Mytilus edulis: one gene and its partner. The protein of the gene in region 2 interacts with the protein of the main gene of each other region in a pairwise test. Links are inferred from orthologs where the notes say so. Each region holds a gene or a part of one and is shown on either strand. Other genes may lie near its edges.

Region 1 (10,092 bases), on a different chromosome or scaffold from region 2:
TCGCTTAGTCTCGCTTTTTCGACTAAAGTCGAATGCTCGACAAAAACTATAGACAAACACTTTCAAACTTGAGGATGTTTTTCAGCCACATCTCATCTCAGATCTCTCATCCTCTGATGAGACTAATCAGATGTAGCTAAGAAATTATTACCCAAAGATGGAGAATTTTGCAATATTGATGTAAATATTTATTTTGATATTTTATAAACTTTAGACATTGTCAGATTTTTTACATTTTTTTAAAATAAATTTATGCATGATTTTGACAAGAATGGAAAGGGGAATTATCAATCAAGGAGTATATTTATTATCATGATTATATGCCATTAATAATATTTTGCTTCATAATTTCCAGAAATAAACATGAGCTACATATATATCATGTACATGTATATGAGCAAACAAACAATATGATCAATTAAAACATAAATTGTATGCTGTATAACATATTGATAAAATGTAAAGTGTGTGTAGTTAGGTTGCTGTCACTTTGAAATTTACCAAAAATGTCAATTTATTCATAATTTTAAAAGTTAAAAATAAAAGATAGTTTTTAATAATGTATGCCAAAACAATATGTCTCACTAGTACTGTTACCACACTTTATAGCTGTAAATTATGGATTCTTGGCTTAATATCAAATTCTAATATGACATGCTTCGTTTAGCTTTGTTAACAAACCCATGCTAGAAATCCAATAAAATTTGTTTAGACATTATACATGTATTCTTGGTATTTTTGACATCGCTATTGCTCCGGCAAAAATAATCATGAATATAATGCCTACCCATGTTAAAACTACAATAAAATATAGCTTGCATCAATTATTTCTTAAATGTGAGAGGTTATTTTGTATGAAAATTTATATCTGTTTAATTATACATTTGTATGTTAATACTCATGTATACACACAGCACTTACCAACTAAATAAAACTGAGCAAATTTCTCAATAATTTGTATAAGAGTAAATCCACTTATCGTCAGAGGATAATGTCTTCCTCTCTTCATCAAGGCCACATACTCTTGTAGATGAATGCATTCTTTCACAAAAGTTTTATATGTAGATGTGTATCCTTCACTTTCCAGAAAACCTACAAAAAATAACATTACTTTAACATGTTTAATGCCTGTCTGGTTTTAAGCATTAGCATTCAAATGTTAATGCATACGTGGCTTTACTTGAGAAAGATTGGAATGAGAGTCATACATGTAATGACTGTGTATGGCATGATTTTTAGGAATAAAACAAAAATAATAGGTGTGTTTCTGGTTGCATGCCACCAAAAAATAGCATCAGGTCATGATTTTTTTTTTCATCTCTTCAAGTTTTATTTTTAAAATTTGTTCAAATGTTTTTGAGTTTGAAACTTTTTATTTCAGGTTTATAGTTGCCAAGAGGCCAAATTGTCACTGTACTTTCAAACCTACCCAACTCATACATTCTACAAAAAATCTACTTTAAAAACATCTAGTTACAGTAGAATAGAAATTCTAAATTATGAATGAACATGATAAATGAAGATAAGTATTACATGTATAAGCATGATAACTTAAGGTGGAATATAAAAATCAACGTAAATAAAAAAGAATATATTAAAACAGGAGTATACATTTACAGAGTGTTTACTATATATAAAGTTGTATTAATATAATTGACAAGATTTAGGGTGAACATGGTGAATAACACTTTCAACAATACAACATGCTCAAGTCTTCTTAAATCATTGAACCTTTTCCGGGAGTGTTCCTGTATCCCTTTCTGTGCTTTACTACATGTATAAGTTATCTACGTTCATATCCGTAGATATGGATATTTTAACACCCTGAAGTACCCCAGTACACCTTGAGGCGTAGCCGAAGGGTGTACAGGGTACTGAAGGGTGTTATAGCCGAAGGGTGTACAGGGTACTGAAGGGTGTTAAAATATCCATATCTATGGATATGAACGTAGATAACGAATTTATCCCCGGTCTTAGTCCGAATCGGGCGAGTTTTATGGAAATTCGGGTACAAAGTGTAACGCGAAAATAACGGTTTTTTCATTATCTAAAAAAGTTTTATTGAAATTTGGAAATTTTACATATTTTTTACGGGGTGTAGGGTACTACCTTTGGTAGAACCCTACAGGTAGTCAAATATAAGACGTTTTTAATAGAGAGACAGAGAAACTGGATTGAGTCAAATATGGCGCTCTATGTTGTGAGCGTTACGCCATACAGTACACACAGAGAGGATGTAATCTCATACTCCCAACACTGATTCTGGTGTAACACAGTGTCACACTGTGAAACACAGATTCCCCTCCCGAAAAACACCAAGTAATTTCTCCCATCTGGGAGGGTTTTATGACCTGTTGATTGCAGGTAAAAGTAATAAAAATCAACAAAGCATGACTGCATGGTCTGACAGTGACATAAAACTAAATGTCAACTATTCTCTCACTTCTTCCTATTTCAATCATTTCCTATTTAGTTTTATTTCTGAAAGCTATAAAAAAAAGGTTAATGAAATGATTTTTAAAAGTTATATCCAAAAGTATTTTTAGATTGGAAAATTATTTACATTCTTTCATAATCTCATAATTAAGAATGTCAACTTGATATTTACAATAAGTTGTATTTATACAGTTAGTTTAAACATGTAGATATTAAAATATATACATGGTTTAAAAAATAATAGTAATACTAATGAGACAAAAAAAATGAATAAAATAAAATAATGTAGATAAATTTCATACATCTTCATTTATTATTTAATTTTATAAAAAAAAATTGAATAAATTTAATTAAAATATTATGTCTTTATTTTCTATTAATTATACTCAACTTACACTACAGGTGATGTTTTGTTTGTTTTAATTATGTTTCTTAGGTATGAAAAACCAACACTGTCCAAACAAATGCTGAGTATGTTATTAATAAAAAAAAAGTTGTGCAGGATTCTTTAATAAAATCAGATTATAATATATCTCTGATTAAATTTAACAAATCTCACACTTTTCATCATTTTTGTGACTGTCATTTAATGACAGGAAACACAAGAAATGTTTATTGTAGTTATCAACTCCTTGCACACTTCAAAGGTGAACATAGCAATAAAAATCATGGTGTTGGGAGAAACCACACCAAGGTAATAAACAATTAAGGAGTTTTAGGGAGGAATTACTCCAAGTTTCTCCCAATTTCCTCCCAAGATTTGGAGAGTGTTGCTGGAGTTTCCTGGTGTGACACCAAGTTTTTACACAGTGTAGGGAGTATGCAATTACATCCTCTCTGTGTGTACTGTAGACAGGCCATTCATTAGGAGGCGGTACCCGGTACTTTTACCCTCCTATGCTATTGACAAGTACCGCCTAAATGTAGAAATTTTTATATAAGATATTCATGGAATAAATTGAAAAGTACCACCTAGAAACGTGGAAAGTACCAGTCAACATGAAAGATAATGAAACCCCTGCAGTGACTGTGTAGATAGTGTGACGTCAACGTGGGTAATTTGCATAGCTAGGTCAGTAGTCCCATTCCTTGAAAATATGGCAGTCAAGTGATGCATTTAATGAAATGAGTGTAAATGATCGGCATAATAGGACAAACTCGTTAATTAATTAAATATTTAATTACATACATCATGGATAATCTACAGACTTCAATTTTCACAAGGAGCAATCATGGAACTAAGGAAAACTTGCGTGAAGTTCCCCGGGATAATGGTTAGCAACGTCCGGGGATATGGGTTAGCAACACCCAGGGGCTATGGGTTTTGTAACGACGTGCGTTAACCAATCAAAATCCTAGATATATACTAAGCCGGGGATAAAACTTTATATACATTTGTAGAGCACAGAAAGGTTTCACCACAGAACTCCAGATAAGCTGCATATTTGCGTGATTATGCAATAAAAATAATTGAAAACCCAATGCAAATGCCCATAGCAGTGTTCTAAAACCCAATTCATGCAAAGGAAAACCCAATAATTTGTCAAAACCATGAGTTCTTAACGCTTTTATTCACTATTGTATGCGTTATTTACCCTTATCTATTACGTAGTCGTCGCATAAATCTATTTTTGTAATATTGAAATCGGATTATCGGAAATGTACTTTCGTTCTAAAAATAGAGCATTGAAAGGGTCCCTGTTGAAATGTTCCGTTGCTTAAAGGTACACGTGGTGATGAAAACATTTCGATCTTCTCTGTCTTTATCCAATAAGCGTTTGTCATGTCGTCATAATTCTTTTCGTATTGCTCGGGATTTAATATTACACTTAGCAATGAATTAAAACGAAAGTAAATTTCCAGTAAAAATATTGAATAAAAGCATGTTTTTTGCTACTTTTGGAGAGCGGAGGAATTATGATGATAAAAAGACTCAGCTAGTTTAATCAGGAAGCCTCCCTTGAACGCACGGGGTAGTGCAATGGCGTGTCCAGGGAATGTTTGCGTGTCTTAACAAGAAAAGGGTTAGAACTCGTCAGAACTCGTCAGAACTAAACCAGTTGGAACATGAAAGGCCAAAGCACTTATATGAAGTCAGCATCGGAAACCAAAAGTTCTAATAAGGGACAAGAAAACCCAGATTTATGTTAAGATTAAACAAAAACACTGTTTATTTTTAGTTCAAGAGTATATATAATATCTATTTCATTTTAGTGAACACACATATACATGTATTAGTTTTGATGTAAATGTAGCTTGCCATTTTTTTTGTTTTAGGTCTATTGTTCTGCATGCCCAAGATACATGTAGTTGTCTTTTTGGCAAGTGCAGTACAGCACTTTTAAAATGTTCACAAATAATACATAAAAATCTAAAAACTATTAGCCACACCTACAAATAAACTGAATGGTGATCATATGTACTCTAGAAAGGTAATTAGGTACTGTCCTATTAGTGTCACCAGTAAATATAAGTTATGGAAAATACAAAACTTTATGTTGAAACCAGACACAAATTAAACGTACAATTGCTCGTCAGTACATGTATATAAACCAAATAAAACAGCTATCACATAGAAAAATTTTTGAACCAAACTCGGTACATTTTGACGGACCTGAATTTCCGGATAATGTAAAACAAAGGTTCCGGAAATTCGGGTCTGTCAAATTTTACCGAGTTTGGTGTAAAACTTATTTTATAATCTCCTAAAAATAAATCAGATAATCGTTTTAAAAAATGCAGTCGACATGTTCCCGCCTTGGATGGAATTGTTACTTATATTATTATTTCTGTAGGGATTAATTATATATATATAATTGGAAATATTTTGCACAAACAAACACATAAAAGGTAAGAATTTTTATATATGCAATTTTTTTAGCCTTCAATGAAAATTTGATGTCCAAATTGGATCTCAAAGTTGAGAGCAAAATATGCTCTCAAAGTCCAACCGAAAATGGCGGCTTCAGCATTATGACGTCGAAGTAAGGTATCAAAGAAGAAAAATATAATAGCCTTTCAAGACGTCATAATTATTTGGACTAGTATAAGTTATACCATATTTATATTTGTAAACTCAAATGCAGGGCAGCCACACTTTTATGCTATTTGATGGTTACAATTTTGGCAAAATCTCAAGCATTAATTTGTTTTCAAATTTCATTAAAACTTGGCAGTCTTCATCATGCTCATGGAAATCCAATTCAATTGCTGAAAAAATAACCTTCAGGTCTGACCTACCTCATGTAAAATTCAAGGGGACATATTTTCTTGGTTGTAAATTGCTTTAATGCGTTGCATCTTTTGTAACCTGAACAAAAATTATGTAAATTTGTTAAACATGTTAAAAAAATATCACGCAACTTATCAGGCCTTGTGTTTATGCTTATTTTACGCACCTAATACTAATCTTGCTATTTCAGAAGGAAGGAAATGCGAAGTTGTTGTGTCCATTCTCAATATTGTTTCAATACAACCTAGGATAAAAGATATTTGATACGCATTTTTGATGTAAACTGTAGCTGTCACTTGTAAAAATGGCGGGCAATGTTGTTCGCCGAATTATGGCAATGTCGCAAAACTCAGAGAAATTCGTTGTTTTACCTTTCTATGAATGAATATAATAGTCTCAGTATCAGTCTGTAATAATAGCAAAATATTAAGATATTTATTATTGAAGCTATTAGAAGATCCTTCATTTAAAAAATCCAGTTAATGTCGTAAAGTAATCTTCTATAATTTGAGGTCAATATCTAGGCCGAAAGATTTTTTTCCCGTAAATGTGAACTCTAGGTTAAAAAATGTAAATGTCACTTCAAATTAAAGGGAGGCACGGATATTCTGTAGAATTTTCTCCGTATTTTCAACATAGATTTGCATGTGCCTCATCACAATATTATGGAATTGCAGGCAAGCATTTTTTTTTAAAAAGGGGGATCAAGGATTTGTACACATGTATAGTGTCACTATACAAATCCTTGGGGGGATACATGGTGTGGCTCTTCTCCACGGTGTATAAAAGCCTTAACAGGATTCTACACGTACCTATACAGATACAGATGTGGGTGGTACATCACTAAAACCGTAAAAATTCTTGGCAAATGATGATACGTTAATTTTTGCTGTATTTTAAACACTCATAAAAGCTTAAATGTTTGTATTGTTATATGTTAACCGAATCAAAAAAAAAACTTTCGTAATGGTATTCGTTAAATGTAAACTTTCTTTAAGACGATAAAATCAACTATTTTTGATGAATCACGTTAAATTTTATCCCAACGATAATCTTTTCTTAAAACTTCTGACGAAACATGATAAGGATATTTAGACAAATCACTGTAAATTTTTAACCAATTTGACGCTAACGGTAGCAGAAAATGACTGACTGTTTGACAACTGACTGACGGTTAAGGGCATTCATAGTACCCTCATAATCATGATGATATATATTAGAGACACCAGAATACAAAAATAAAGTAAAAATTGTTCAGAGGTGTGCTCACTGTGCTGCTCGTTATGTATGTCACAAAGTTACACAAACTATACTGTTTGTGGGCGTAAATATTTTACATAAGGGTACTTTATGTGTCAACAGATTGACCTTAATTGGTCAGATTCAGGTGTTTGCTGTTCAACTCACTTTCATGTACCTATTAAAACCAGTAGCATGATAAGTCTTACATCCATGATAAAATATCTTCAATGGCCCTAACATTCTGAGCACAGCAATAATATTAAGTGGATTATGTTCAATATCACTTATATTAAAGTCATCCATACTTAAGACTCATTGCAATTCTCTTGGACAGTTACAAGTCATGCAAGTGGTAATTTTTTCCAAAAACAATATAAATACAATTGAAATTGTAGTGGCCTGCAAAACAGTTGAAACCTCTACAACATAAAATAACTTACTATATTTCAATGTACATATTTTGTTGAAACTTATTTTATTAAGGAAAACCAAATTTAAAAATGTATCCTTTTTGCATTTGGCAGTAATATGATAAACAATTCTATAAATAGTCATGATAGTAGGTTCCAGAAACAAGCTGTTTACTTATTTCAACATTTTTGAAATATTTGCTTTAAATATAAAAAGGGTATCAACTGAAGCCTGTATTGCTGCAGAGGCATCTGTGTTCCCCCTTTTAGCTATCATTTTTTATTTTTCATTTTCTCCTGTCTAAATTTCAGGGAATGGTACACTCTTTATCATAGACCAGACCCCCAATGGACTGGTCCCTACTGTTGTATTTGACTGGAATGATGGACTGTTTGATGTGACCTGGGCAGAGAATAATGAAAATGTACTTGTAACTGCATCTGGTGATGGTGGAATTGTTGTGTGGGATGCTTCACAACCCAGAGTAAGTTTAGATTTGTCATCATGTACATGGCATTATTGAAACATAAAAATAGAATTCTTTAATTCATTACCAAAAGCAATTATTGATATATATCGATAGTTGTTAAATTCCCATACCTGCCAACTGTCACTATTTGTGGGGGATTTCCCCCATGGAGGCTCCCAAATTGTAATTTTGAAAGAGCTTTTTTGTCCACAATTTTAAACAAAACAATTAATTTTACAATGACATTAGGCTTATAAAAGTATTAAGAAGCCAAAAAAACAACATTAACAAATGATTAAAATGTATTTGTAGCCCCCCTTGAAGGTATTTTAGGATTATGGCAGCCATCTTGCACGCAAAACCCCCATGGGCATTTTGAAAAGTTGGCAGGTATGAATTCCTGCATGTAATGAATTTACAATGTACATTGTTCAATGTTTTAAGCTCTTTATTTCTAATTAAGGTATCCAAAGGCCAAGGGACACTATAATGGCAACACTACACAATGCCTTCTCGTTTATAACTCATTTACATACATGGCATATAAACATGTACAAATTAACCCACATGGTTGTGGTATAAAAACGTTTGAAACATGAACAAACTTAAAGGGAGAAAAACATTGATTTAGACAAATGTACGTAGTACAGTCAGGGTAACAACTGAGCACAAATGTTTGAACAACCTGCTAATTGATTTTTTTCTAGTAGTGTATTTTGCTAAATTTAATTGGTATCAATTTCTACCATACATTTTTCTATATATACTTTAATCAGATCATTATTAAACTGGATATATTAAAGATTTTTTTTCTTTACAGGGTCCTATCAAGGCATATAAAGAACATTCAAAAGAGGTACAGTTAGTTACAAAGGTTATAGATTTTAATGAAATAAGCCAACAAAAATGATCAGAAATTATGTACATAAAATTATAAAAAACAGAAATGTCAAGATATAAATAAAATCAGATCTGCTCTAATCATCATTAAAAACAAATAAAGATCATGTTGATCCCCATAAGATTTTCTACAAACATAGGAAATGATAGCAAGGGAAATTTGCAATAGTTAATTGCCACTGTACAATACATGTACAATACATGTATAATATCAGCAACTGAGCTGCCAAAGATTCAAAGATTCAAAAGTTTTATTATCCTCAGACACAACAGTGTACAAGAGGTCAATATACATACATACATAGATAGACGAAATATCTATACAGTAATTACAATACAATTATGATAAACATGTATATGTTACAGTAAATAGGTGAAATTAGGAATTACACGTAATTACTAAACATTTCAGTAAATACCTGTAATCACTAGTCAATTTAGTAATTACATGTATTTACTAGTTGTTTCAGTTATTACAGGTATTTACTGATTTTTTTTGTCATTTTTACAGCTATTTACTAACTTGATATTTTTGTTTAAAAATTAAAGACATAATTCAAGATATCAAATAAGAAAGTAAGGGGTAGGGATTTGTAGGGCTTACTTAAGGATCAAGGATTATAAGGCACATTAAAAGTGCATACTCTTCAGTATTTGTGAATTGAAACTGGAAAATGGTTGTTTTATAAGTTTTGAAACTCCCTAAAAATCATTTTGAGCATGCAAGACAATGATACCAATCCAAAATTGAGAAAAACATTTTTGAGAATTGTATAGGCAACTTAGGCAGCTATTTTTTAAGATAGACATTAGATTATGGCAAACTTGGTTAAATGATCTTGATAATTCTTAAAATCTCATAATTTTGTTATATTAAAATCTCCATCAGAATGATCAGGCATACTCTGCATATCAACTTGGCCAATAACATGAGTTAAATTCCTTTTACAACATAGGTTTAACTACGACTTCTTTTTTCAGACATTTGTGATGAAGCTGACATTCTTCACAAACAAATTTACACAAATTGATGGCGTTAAGAGTCACATTTTCATATTTCCGTGTTTTTATGAGTTCTTCAAGGCCTCCAAACTAAAGCTTATATACCTCCAACAAAATTTTATCATCGTTTCTTCCTGTATAAGAATGATCTTTTTGTGGATTGAAAAAGTCACCTAAATGGTCCATCCCTTTTGTTTTACTTTCAATGTTGACATTCTTTTCCTTTTCGTCTAGCCTGCGTTTTTTGTCGCAAAAGTGAGACATAGCCAACCAACCTAATAATTTCGTCGCCAGAGGCGTCCACAAATATTCGCTCTGTGGTTATATTTTTTAAATTTTGATAAGTTTCTCAAATCATCCTGGATTTCTACGAAACTTGAACAGAAGCTTCAGTTGTTTA
Region 2 (9,584 bases):
CAAATCAAGAAACCAGTCAGAAAAGACATCCACATGTCTAAGACAAACATCAACAAGTCAAATGGTGTCTTTGAACTTTAAATGTCTATTCTGATATTGGTACATGTATCTTTTTACAGTGGATGTCTGTTGTGATTTTGGCGTCTTTGACTTGTGAAAGTCTGTTCTGATTTTGGTGTCTTTGACCTATGAGTGTCTATTCTGATTTTGGTGTGTTTGACCTATGAATGTCTATTCTGATTTTGGTGTGTTTGACCTGTGGATGTCTGTTTTGATTTTGGTGTCTATGACTGGTGGGTGTCCATTCTTATTTTGGTCTTTCAGTCTGTTCTGATTTAAGTGTCTGATTTTAAAGGATTTCAAATCTCTTTGATAGAAGTATGATCAATGATATTTTTTGGCAGGTATTCAGAAGTCTTAAACTAACAAGAACCATATAGGTGAACATTTAAGATCATTGAAAACAAAACAGGGTAAAAACAGAGCAGCCAAATTATGGAAGGTCAGTTTTCCCTCTCAGACAATTCAAAATTAGTTGACTGTAGATTTCAATTAAAAGTTATGATGACACTTCATGCAACCTGTTAAAGATGTTAGTGCTGTTTCTAGTTTCTTCAGAGGCATCATTTAACCAACACCTGTTGATTTCTGTGAGTACCCGGGAGCACAACTAAGCAACGTGATTAACTTTTTGCATTGCAGTCAGAGGCGGATTTAGGGGGGGCAGGGGGCCTGGCCCCCCCCCCCCTTTTTGGAAAAAAAATTGGTTGCTTATATAGGGAATCACTGAAGTGTGACTCGAGCGGGCCCCCTCTTAGGTCAGTCAGTGGGCCCCCACTTATGAAAATTTCTGGATTCGCCACTGGCAGTCCAGGAATAGACAATCTTCTCTGCAGTCATGTATTGACCATGCTATCCAAATTATGTGCCATCTTCCATTTGATTGTTCAAGTTGGTGGCCATTGTCTTTGATTTTCCAACTTTGTCTATCATTGGTGATATACATGTAAACCTTTGATATGCATTTTCTAAACAATCTGGTCAGACTTGTATACAAGTGAGTGCTTTAGATACAAAATTTTAGACATATTGCTGACATAAAATTTTGATATACTGGTATATTCATTCGGTCCTACAAGAAAGGTAGACTTTAGAGCGATTACAATTAAATTTTCCATATAATTTAAATATTTCCAATGGGCATATCTCATTTAAAAATGTTTACTTGGAACTGATTTTCAGAACTTGTCCAAGACATTGCTGATGTAATTAAACCTTTGATTTAAATTTCATAAATATCTTGCATTTTACATGTTAGAGCGCTTAAAACACAAGAAAGGACAGACAGATGTTGGACAATGACACAAAAATTCTATGTCTGCTCTTTACTTATGATTCATTTCTATCATCAGTTTCAAGACTAGGTCTCCAACAGCAGCTTGACACCTTATACAAACATTGTCAAAATTGGTGAATGGAAATAAATAGAAATCAAACAAAAGTAATAATTTTTAATAAATTATGTAAGAATCGCAATCTATTGGAACATATTATTTCAATCATTTGTCAATCATCAGGCTATAGTAAATCAAATATACAATGTGTCAAATTTATAAATATTTAGGTTGAATTTTAGCAATACTGCTTAAATTAAAGATAAAAATTAAGTCTGGTCGTCCTTAATTACCTATAATCATGATGATACTGCACATTTTATATTCATACTTTATAGGAAAAATGTATCAGTTAATAATTTAGTAAAATGTACCTGTACACATGTATTTATTGATAATACAATGTACATGTACATGATAACTGATAAATCTATTTGTTATTATAAAATCATGAGTTATTTGTTATTTATATAACATATGTATACTATTAAGATTTGTTTGTTTAGTCACTTTATTTGTATGATAAAACCTATAGTATTGTATGCTTTTAAAAAGAGGGGGATATTGGTTACATCTTGAAAATATACGGGTTTTTTTTACCTTTGAATCTTCTTTATAATACTTATAAAAAATATCAAACTGGTGATGCCGCCACAGAAAAATTCTTTGTTTGCAAATATCAAATTTCTAAGTGAAAATTAAAATCGCAAAATTAGTAAGCTACATAACATGCATTTTATGTTAGTTCAAACAAAAAGGTTTTGAAACACTGTTATATATTATAAGCTCAACAATCAATACAAAAACTATACTTTTCTTCATTGAACCATAGAATATGCAGAATAAATAAATTTCAATATTATTATCATTTACACTAAAAACATTTCAAAATAATTATGATAATCACATAATAAAAAATAGTAATACAAATGATCAAATATAAATTAAAATTTTCAACGAAAAAATTAATAAATTTACATACAAATGCAATGTATGTACAAAATCTCTACATCATTTTTTTGTTTTTTGTACATATTTGAATCAAAGTCAAGCTAGCAATTTAGCATATAATTCAAGTCATTTATTTTATTTCAGTCAATCAAATGTCATTTTGAATATATATGTGTACAGTTTTTGTACATGTATATCAGAACTAAATCATAAATATATGATGTCCAAATAATAAATATGTTAACTAAAATTAAAGTCACACCTACATGCATCACAAGAATAATTTAGACTAACACTTTTGAAAATGTAACTGTTACATTACCAATCGGAATGTCCTTTAACAGTACGGCTTTTGATTTTCCATAGGTCCTCATATTTAACGCTGTCCCTGGGAACCTTGTACTGTTTAACTATCAAATCAAGTATTTCCTCAGATATTGCACTCTGGGAATCTTGTTCTGCAAATTCGATATCACTGCTGGCATAGTGGCATGAAATGGACTTTCTAAAGTCTTTTGTCCTGTTCATTCCTGATCCATGTATTAATAGAGGATGGAAGAAAACTGTGTCGCCAGCCTCCATCTCAAGATGTGAACGGGGCATGCTGGGATCATAATCTCTCACACCATGGTACATCTTATTTACACCACCCTCCCATTCAGGATAATCATGCTGAAGTAGTGTACCCTTGTGAGTACCAGGAAGCACAACTAAGCAACCATTTTCACGATTAACTTTTTGCATTGCAGTCCAGGAACAGACGATCTTCTCCGCTGGTTTCATTGGGAAGTAATGAAGATCCTGGTGCATTGGATGTCTGGAGGTTTTCCTACCTGGATCTGGCGGCTTGTTAATCAGCATAGTATGGATGGCCTTGATATTGCTTCCAACAATAGCTTCCACATAGTCCAATACCTCTGGCAATTTACAATACTCAAATAACTCCTCATCTAACTGAAAGTTCTGGATTTTTGTTACTGCCTTTTGTCCTGGTACAAACTCATCTTTTGAAATGGCAACGTCTCTCATAATAGTCAAACCAGGTACTTCAACTTCCTTTTTACATATCTGTTCAAATCTTTCTCTGTACTTCTGCAGGCTGTACTCAGGAACAAGTTTTTTAATGACCAAATACCCATTATCTTCATAAAACTGTCTCTGTTTTTCTGTCAACCTTGGCGAATTCAGAGTATACTTAAAAATTCCGGTGTATGGACTAGCATGTGTTAAGACTGTTGAGACATCAGTTGGGGTCTTATGTTCCTGAATGTGACCAAAAAGCGTTTTCAGTCGGGCTGCCATTTTTCTTTTTGGACTTCGAACATAAACAGTGCAAGGTCAACAACTGGCACGTTTGTAAAACGAAAGCAATACGTGTCTGTTTCCTGATTTGTTTACCTGTTTACCTGTTTACCTGTACTGCAACTCCCTCCTATGTCAGGAGAACCACCAATCCTAGAATCGGTGTAATGATCACTCACGGTTAAAATCCTCAAGATTATGTTTAAAAGATAAAACCTTTAAAACTATCAAAGAGATATTAATTATCTCCTCTGGGGGATGTGACCCTATCACCAATATTTACACTATTCTGGTATGCGTTAAAAGTCATCCATCATTCAAATATAAAAGTTGCTTCTTTCATATTAAAAACGGTAAAATGTAAATACACTTTATACAACAAAATTCTTTGAAAGGGCCATATATCAACAGCTAATAGAATATTTTAGTAAAATATTTCATCCTTCCTTGTCAGCTTTTAGACCTGGCTATGGCTGTAACACCGCCTTACTAAAAGTCATTGAGGACTGGAAAAAAGCAGTCGATCAAAATTTATATGTGGCTGCTGTGCTAATGGACCTTTCTAAGGCCTTTGACTGCTTACCCCATAATTTACTTCTTTTAAAATTGAAGGCATATGGCCTGTCAAATGAGGCACTTAATTTAATTGATAATTATTTATCAAATAGGAAACAGTGTGTAAAAGTCGGTGCATATTTTAGTACCTGGCAAAATATCTATAAAGGTGTACCGCAGGGCTCGATTTTGGGTCCTGTGCTTTTTAATATTTTTCTAAACGACATTTTCAATTTTGTGAAAGAAAATGAACTGTATAATTATGCAGACGATAATACATTGTCACACTCAGGACCAGACCTAAATGGATTAGTTAAATCTTTAGAAAAGGAAAGTGCTGTTTTAATTGATTGGTTTGCTAATAACAAAATGAAAGCTAATCCAGATAAATTTCAGGCTATTGCTGTTGGGAATAAATCAAAAAGTGGGAATATTAAATTCAATTTGGATGGAAATGAAATTTTATGTGACACTGAGGTAAAGCTCCTGGGGGTGACAATAGATTATCAACTCAAGTTTAAAACTCATATCTCTGATATTTGTAAAAAAGCATCAAGACAGTTAAATGTTCTTAAAAGAATTGGAAAACATCTATCTAAATTGGGAAGGTTAACTATTTATCATTCATATATTATGTCTAATTTCAATTATTGTCCTGTGGTTTGGCATTTTTGTGGGGAGGGTAATACTAAAAAGATGAAAAAAATACAAGAACGTGCCTTGAGGTTCATATATGAAGATTTTGATAGTGATTATGAAACTCTGTTGTTAAAATCTGGTTTACCTTCTTTAAAAATAAGACGCATAAGAATGATGGCAATAGAAACTTTTAAAATATTACATAAAGAATCACCGGTGTATCTCCATGATATCATTAATTTTAAAAATGTATCTTATACTTTTAGAAAACAACAAACTGTTGAAATTCCACAGGTGAGAACCACACATTTTGGCCTTCATTCATTAAGATATGCTGGAGCTACACTATGGAATGAGTTGCCTGACACGATCCGTGCACAGACAAACCTAAACCAGTTTAAAAGTATGATCAACAACTGGAATGGCAACTCATGCAGGTGTGGCTCCTGCAGATCTTAATACCTTTATTTTATTTGTGTTAAATGTTTGTTCCATGTAGCTTATAGAAATTAGTTTGCTTTATTTATTTCATTCTGCTTTGCATGTGCTTATGTTTCAGTTTTAGTGTTTTGCTTGCATGTGCTATGCTTTTTATTTATGAACTTTTTACTTGCAATATAGCTATCATAATTTGTATGTCTCATATGTGTGTTTTATGTATCTTAATATGTGTGTTGTTATTGTTATTAATGTCGGCAAAAAGCTCTACAGAGCTTATGTTTGTATTTAATGTAACCCGACTTGAAATACAATTTCTTATCTTATTTTATCTTAAATGTTCTATCTTTTGGTATGTCCCTTCTTTTCAGTTCGGTATTTCATGCTTTTAATCACTGTTCAATTAATATTGCCCGTTGCTGGAATAGTTGATGACACAGACCTCTCGATAATGTTTCTATTCTAATCTGTGCATTCTCATTAATTTTAAAAATCTAAATTTTGAGCAGTCAATAACTAGCTGACACAAATGTTCGTCATTGGTTATTAATTCTTGGATAAGATCCTGATCCTCTAGGTTTTCTGTCAATACCTCGCCTATCATATGTAGAAAATCATCTCTAATATACTGTAGCTTAGAGCACTTTAATATGAAGTGAAGTATGACACGGGTTATGTTCTTCTCATATATGTTATGATGGTATGATACTAAGGGAGCTACCATTTGATTTTTATGGGGGGGCTAGGATGAAATTTGAAAAAAATAGGCAGGACAGGAGTTTTGAGTAAAAAAAAAAAAGGCAGGATGAGACACTTTGCAAAAAAAAAGACAGGATGACAATTTAGGTAAAAAAAAGTCAGGATAAACTAATAAAAAAAGGCAGGACCGAATAGAGTGAAAAATAAAAAGGCAGGACAGACATTACAACTAAAAAAAAATGCAGGACAAAATTTTTCATCCTAGCCCCCCATAAAAATCAAATGGTAGCTCCCTAAACCCCTAACGGGAAGGATTGTGCCTGATGTTCATATGATGAAATCATAATCTTTCAGTCAGTTTAATTGAAGTCTGGAGCTGGCATGTCAGTTAACTGCTAGTAGTCTGTTGTTATTTATGTATTATTGTCATTTTGTTTATTTTCTTTGGTTACATCTTCTGACATCAGACTCGGACTTCTCTTGAACTGAATTTTAATGTGCGTATTGTTATGCGTTTACTTTTCTACATTGGCTAGAGGTATAGGGGGAGGGTTGAGATCTCACAAACATGTTTAACCCCGCCGAATGTTTGCGCCTGTCCCAAGTCAGGAGCCTCTGGCCTTTGTTAGTCTTGTATTATTTTAATTTTTGTTTCTTGTATACAATTTGGAAATTAGTATGGCGTTCATTATCACTGAACTAGTATATATTTGTTTAGGGGCCAGTTGAAGGACGCCTCCGAGTGCGGGAATTTCTCGCTACATTGAAGACCTGTTGGTGACTTTCTGGTGTTGTTTTTTTCTATGGTCGGGTTGTTGTCTCTTTGGCACATTCCCCATTTCCATTCTCAATTTTATATCTTCTTCTTCCTCTGCACATAACTGGCCAATAGGCGACACATATATGTCCATTGCTAAATTTAGCTCGATGATATTACAGGTATATTGTCCCTGTTGCTAACTTTGCCTTAAAGGAGGCAGATGTGATGGCATATGGATTAGTGCCACAGTTTTTTCAAATGTTATGTATTTTCTCTTCTTTGACATTTTCGTAATTTAGGCGAGCCAGAGTAGATTTTGATTTTGCTTCATTCGAGTTATCATTTGTTTTATACAGTGATCACCGACTGTTTTATTTACCAGGTTTTTCCAAAGTTGTTTCCCGGGTGGGTTATCTATAATATCATATGGCGACGGTAGGTCATATATATTGGCAATTTCAACAGTTTTTGTAAACCAGCTACCAGATTGTAGAGATTTTGTTGCTAGCTGTCTGATGGCTAATTTTCTTTCAATTGAGTTTTCATTTCTTATGATATTTCCAAAAGTTTTCAGAATTCGTTTATGTATTTCTGATTCAATGGTAATCCGTCCAAGAAGAAGATGTGAAGCTACGTTTGCAGTTCTGTCTGGCAAGTGTTGAATTTGTCGCAAGAGTTTTCGAAAATAAAAAGGAAGGTTGGGATTGATTTTGGGAGTTTAAGTCCCAACAGTTTAGGAATTATGGGCCAAAAAGGGGCCCAAATAAGCATTTTTCTGGTTTTCGCACCATAACTTTAGTATAAGTAAATAGAAATCTATGAAATTTAAACACAAGGTTTATGACCATAAAAGGAAGGTTTGGGATTGATTTTGGGAGTTTTGGTCCCAACTGTTTAGGAATTAGGGGCCCAAAGGGTCCAAAAATTAACTTTGTTTGATATCATCAAAAATTGAATGATTTGGGTTCTTTGATATGCCAAATCTAACTGTGTATGTAGATTCTTAATTTTTGATCCCGTTTTCAAATTGGTCTACATTAAAGTCCAAAGGGTCCAAAATTAAACTAAGTTTGATTTTAGCAAAAATTGAATTCTTGGGGTTCTCTGATATTAAATCTAAAGATGTACTTAGATTTTTGATTATGGGCCCAGTTTTCAAGTTAGTCCAAATCGGGGTCCAAAATTAAATTTTGTTTGATTTCAACTAAAATTGAATTCTTGGGGTTCTTTGATATGCTGAATCTAAACATGTACTTAGATTTTTGATTATGGGCCCAGTTTTCAAGTTGATCCAAATCGGGATCCCAAATTAAACTTTGTTTGATTTCAACAAAAATTGAATCCTTGGGTTTTTTGATATGCTGAGTCTAAGGGACGACATCAAAAGTTCAATGTAGGATAAAAAACTTAATTCACATAGTTTTTTTCACAACCCCCCCCCCCCCCCCCCCCCCCCCTCTTAACTTAATTTGGGAAAAATTGATTTACCAAAAGGGATATATGTGAAAATCGATTTTAGATATACAAAACTTGTAGAATTTTAACCCCCCCCCCACCCCCCAAACTATTTTTTATCCTACATCGATCTTTTGATGTCGTCCCTAAACATGTAGTAAGATTTTTGCTTATGGGGCCAGTTTTCAAGTTGGTCCAAATCGCGGTCGAAAATTAAATTTTGTTTGATATCAACAAAAATTGAATCCTAGGGGTTCTTTGATATGCTGAATCTAAACATGTATTTAGGTTTTTGATTATAGGCCCAGTTTTCAAGTTGGACCAAATCGGGGTCCAAAATAAACTTTGTTTGATTTCAACAAAAATTGAATATATGGAGTTCTTTGATATATATGCTGAATCTAATCAAATTGAGAATGGAAATGGGGAATGTGCCAAAGGGACAAACATGTATTTAGATTATTGATATTTGGGCCCGGTTATCAAATTGGTCCACATTGAGGTTTAAAGGGTCCAAAATTTAACTTTACTTGATTTCATCTAAATTGAATTCTTGGGGTTCGTTGATATGCTGAATCTAACCATGTATTTAGATTTTGAATATTGGACCATAATAGGTAAATGTCCAATGTCCAATTCAAAACTTTTAAGTTTTTAAGTTTAAGTTCTTTGACCACATTCATTCTGTGTCAGAAACCTATGTTGTGTCAACTATTCAATCACAATCCAAATTCAGAGCTGTATCAAGCTTGAATGTTGTGTCCATATTTGCCACAACTGTTCAGGATTCGAACTCTGCGGTCGTATAAAGCTGCACCCTGCGGAGCATCTGGTTATTTTTACGATTATGAGAAACGTCCAGTTTAATTCATATAAATTTTCAAAATGCGAGTTTAAATTATTGCGTTTACAATTGTGTTGAATTTTTTGCAATAATAAAAACCTCGCAATAATTTCTAAATTTACAGTAAGATGTCTTTGACCTCTTGATGTCTCTGACCTGTAAATTTCTGTTCTGATTTTTGTATCTTTTAACTGTTAGTCTTTGACATTTTAGTATCTGTTTCAATATATTTTATGTGTTTGCCCTGCGGATGACTATTCTGATTTCTATAACTTACCTGTGGATGTCTATTTTGATTTTGTTAAAACTTTGTGGAAGTGAGAAGAACAATGGTTTAGTCAACAATATGGTCAAATACACCAAAAGCAATTCACTAGTCAACTCACTAAAAAATATTCTGACATCCAGAGGCCAACAACACCAAAATCAGAACAGACATCCACAGTTCAAAGACACTAAAATCAAAACAGAGTTCCAGTCAAAATACACCAAAACCAGAACATACAAAGTTTAAAACCCTCTGAAATTAGAAAATCAGACATCCACC

Evidence for each region.
Region 1: the proteins of phytanoyl-CoA dioxygenase, peroxisomal-like (region 2) and peroxisomal targeting signal 2 receptor-like interact in a two-hybrid assay, tested with the Homo sapiens proteins (2 studies listed by BioGRID, with this or other methods). The link is inferred for Mytilus edulis from reciprocal best matches to the Homo sapiens genes PHYH and PEX7.

The regions. Positions count from the first base shown.
Region 1 is NC_092353.1:34,377,546-34,387,637, forward strand, and holds the start of peroxisomal targeting signal 2 receptor-like, read left to right. Parts: upstream 1-6,169; 5' UTR 6,170-6,242; coding exon 6,243-6,345; intron 6,346-7,632; coding exon 7,633-7,805; intron 7,806-8,610; coding exon 8,611-8,646; intron 8,647-10,092. Other genes in the region: serine-rich adhesin for platelets-like, read right to left, coding at 922-1,092, 5,835-5,889. UniProt on the Homo sapiens protein: Receptor required for the peroxisomal import of proteins containing a C-terminal PTS2-type peroxisomal targeting signal. Specifically binds to cargo proteins containing a PTS2 peroxisomal targeting signal in the cytosol.
Region 2 is NC_092346.1:5,364,599-5,374,182, reverse strand, and holds phytanoyl-CoA dioxygenase, peroxisomal-like, read right to left. Parts: upstream 3,717-9,584; 5' UTR 3,648-3,716; coding exon 2,664-3,647; 3' UTR 1,499-2,663; downstream 1-1,498. UniProt on the Homo sapiens protein: Catalyzes the 2-hydroxylation of not only racemic phytanoyl-CoA and the isomers of 3-methylhexadecanoyl-CoA, but also a variety of other mono-branched 3-methylacyl-CoA esters (with a chain length of at least seven carbon atoms) and straight-chain acyl-CoA esters (with a chain length longer than four carbon atoms).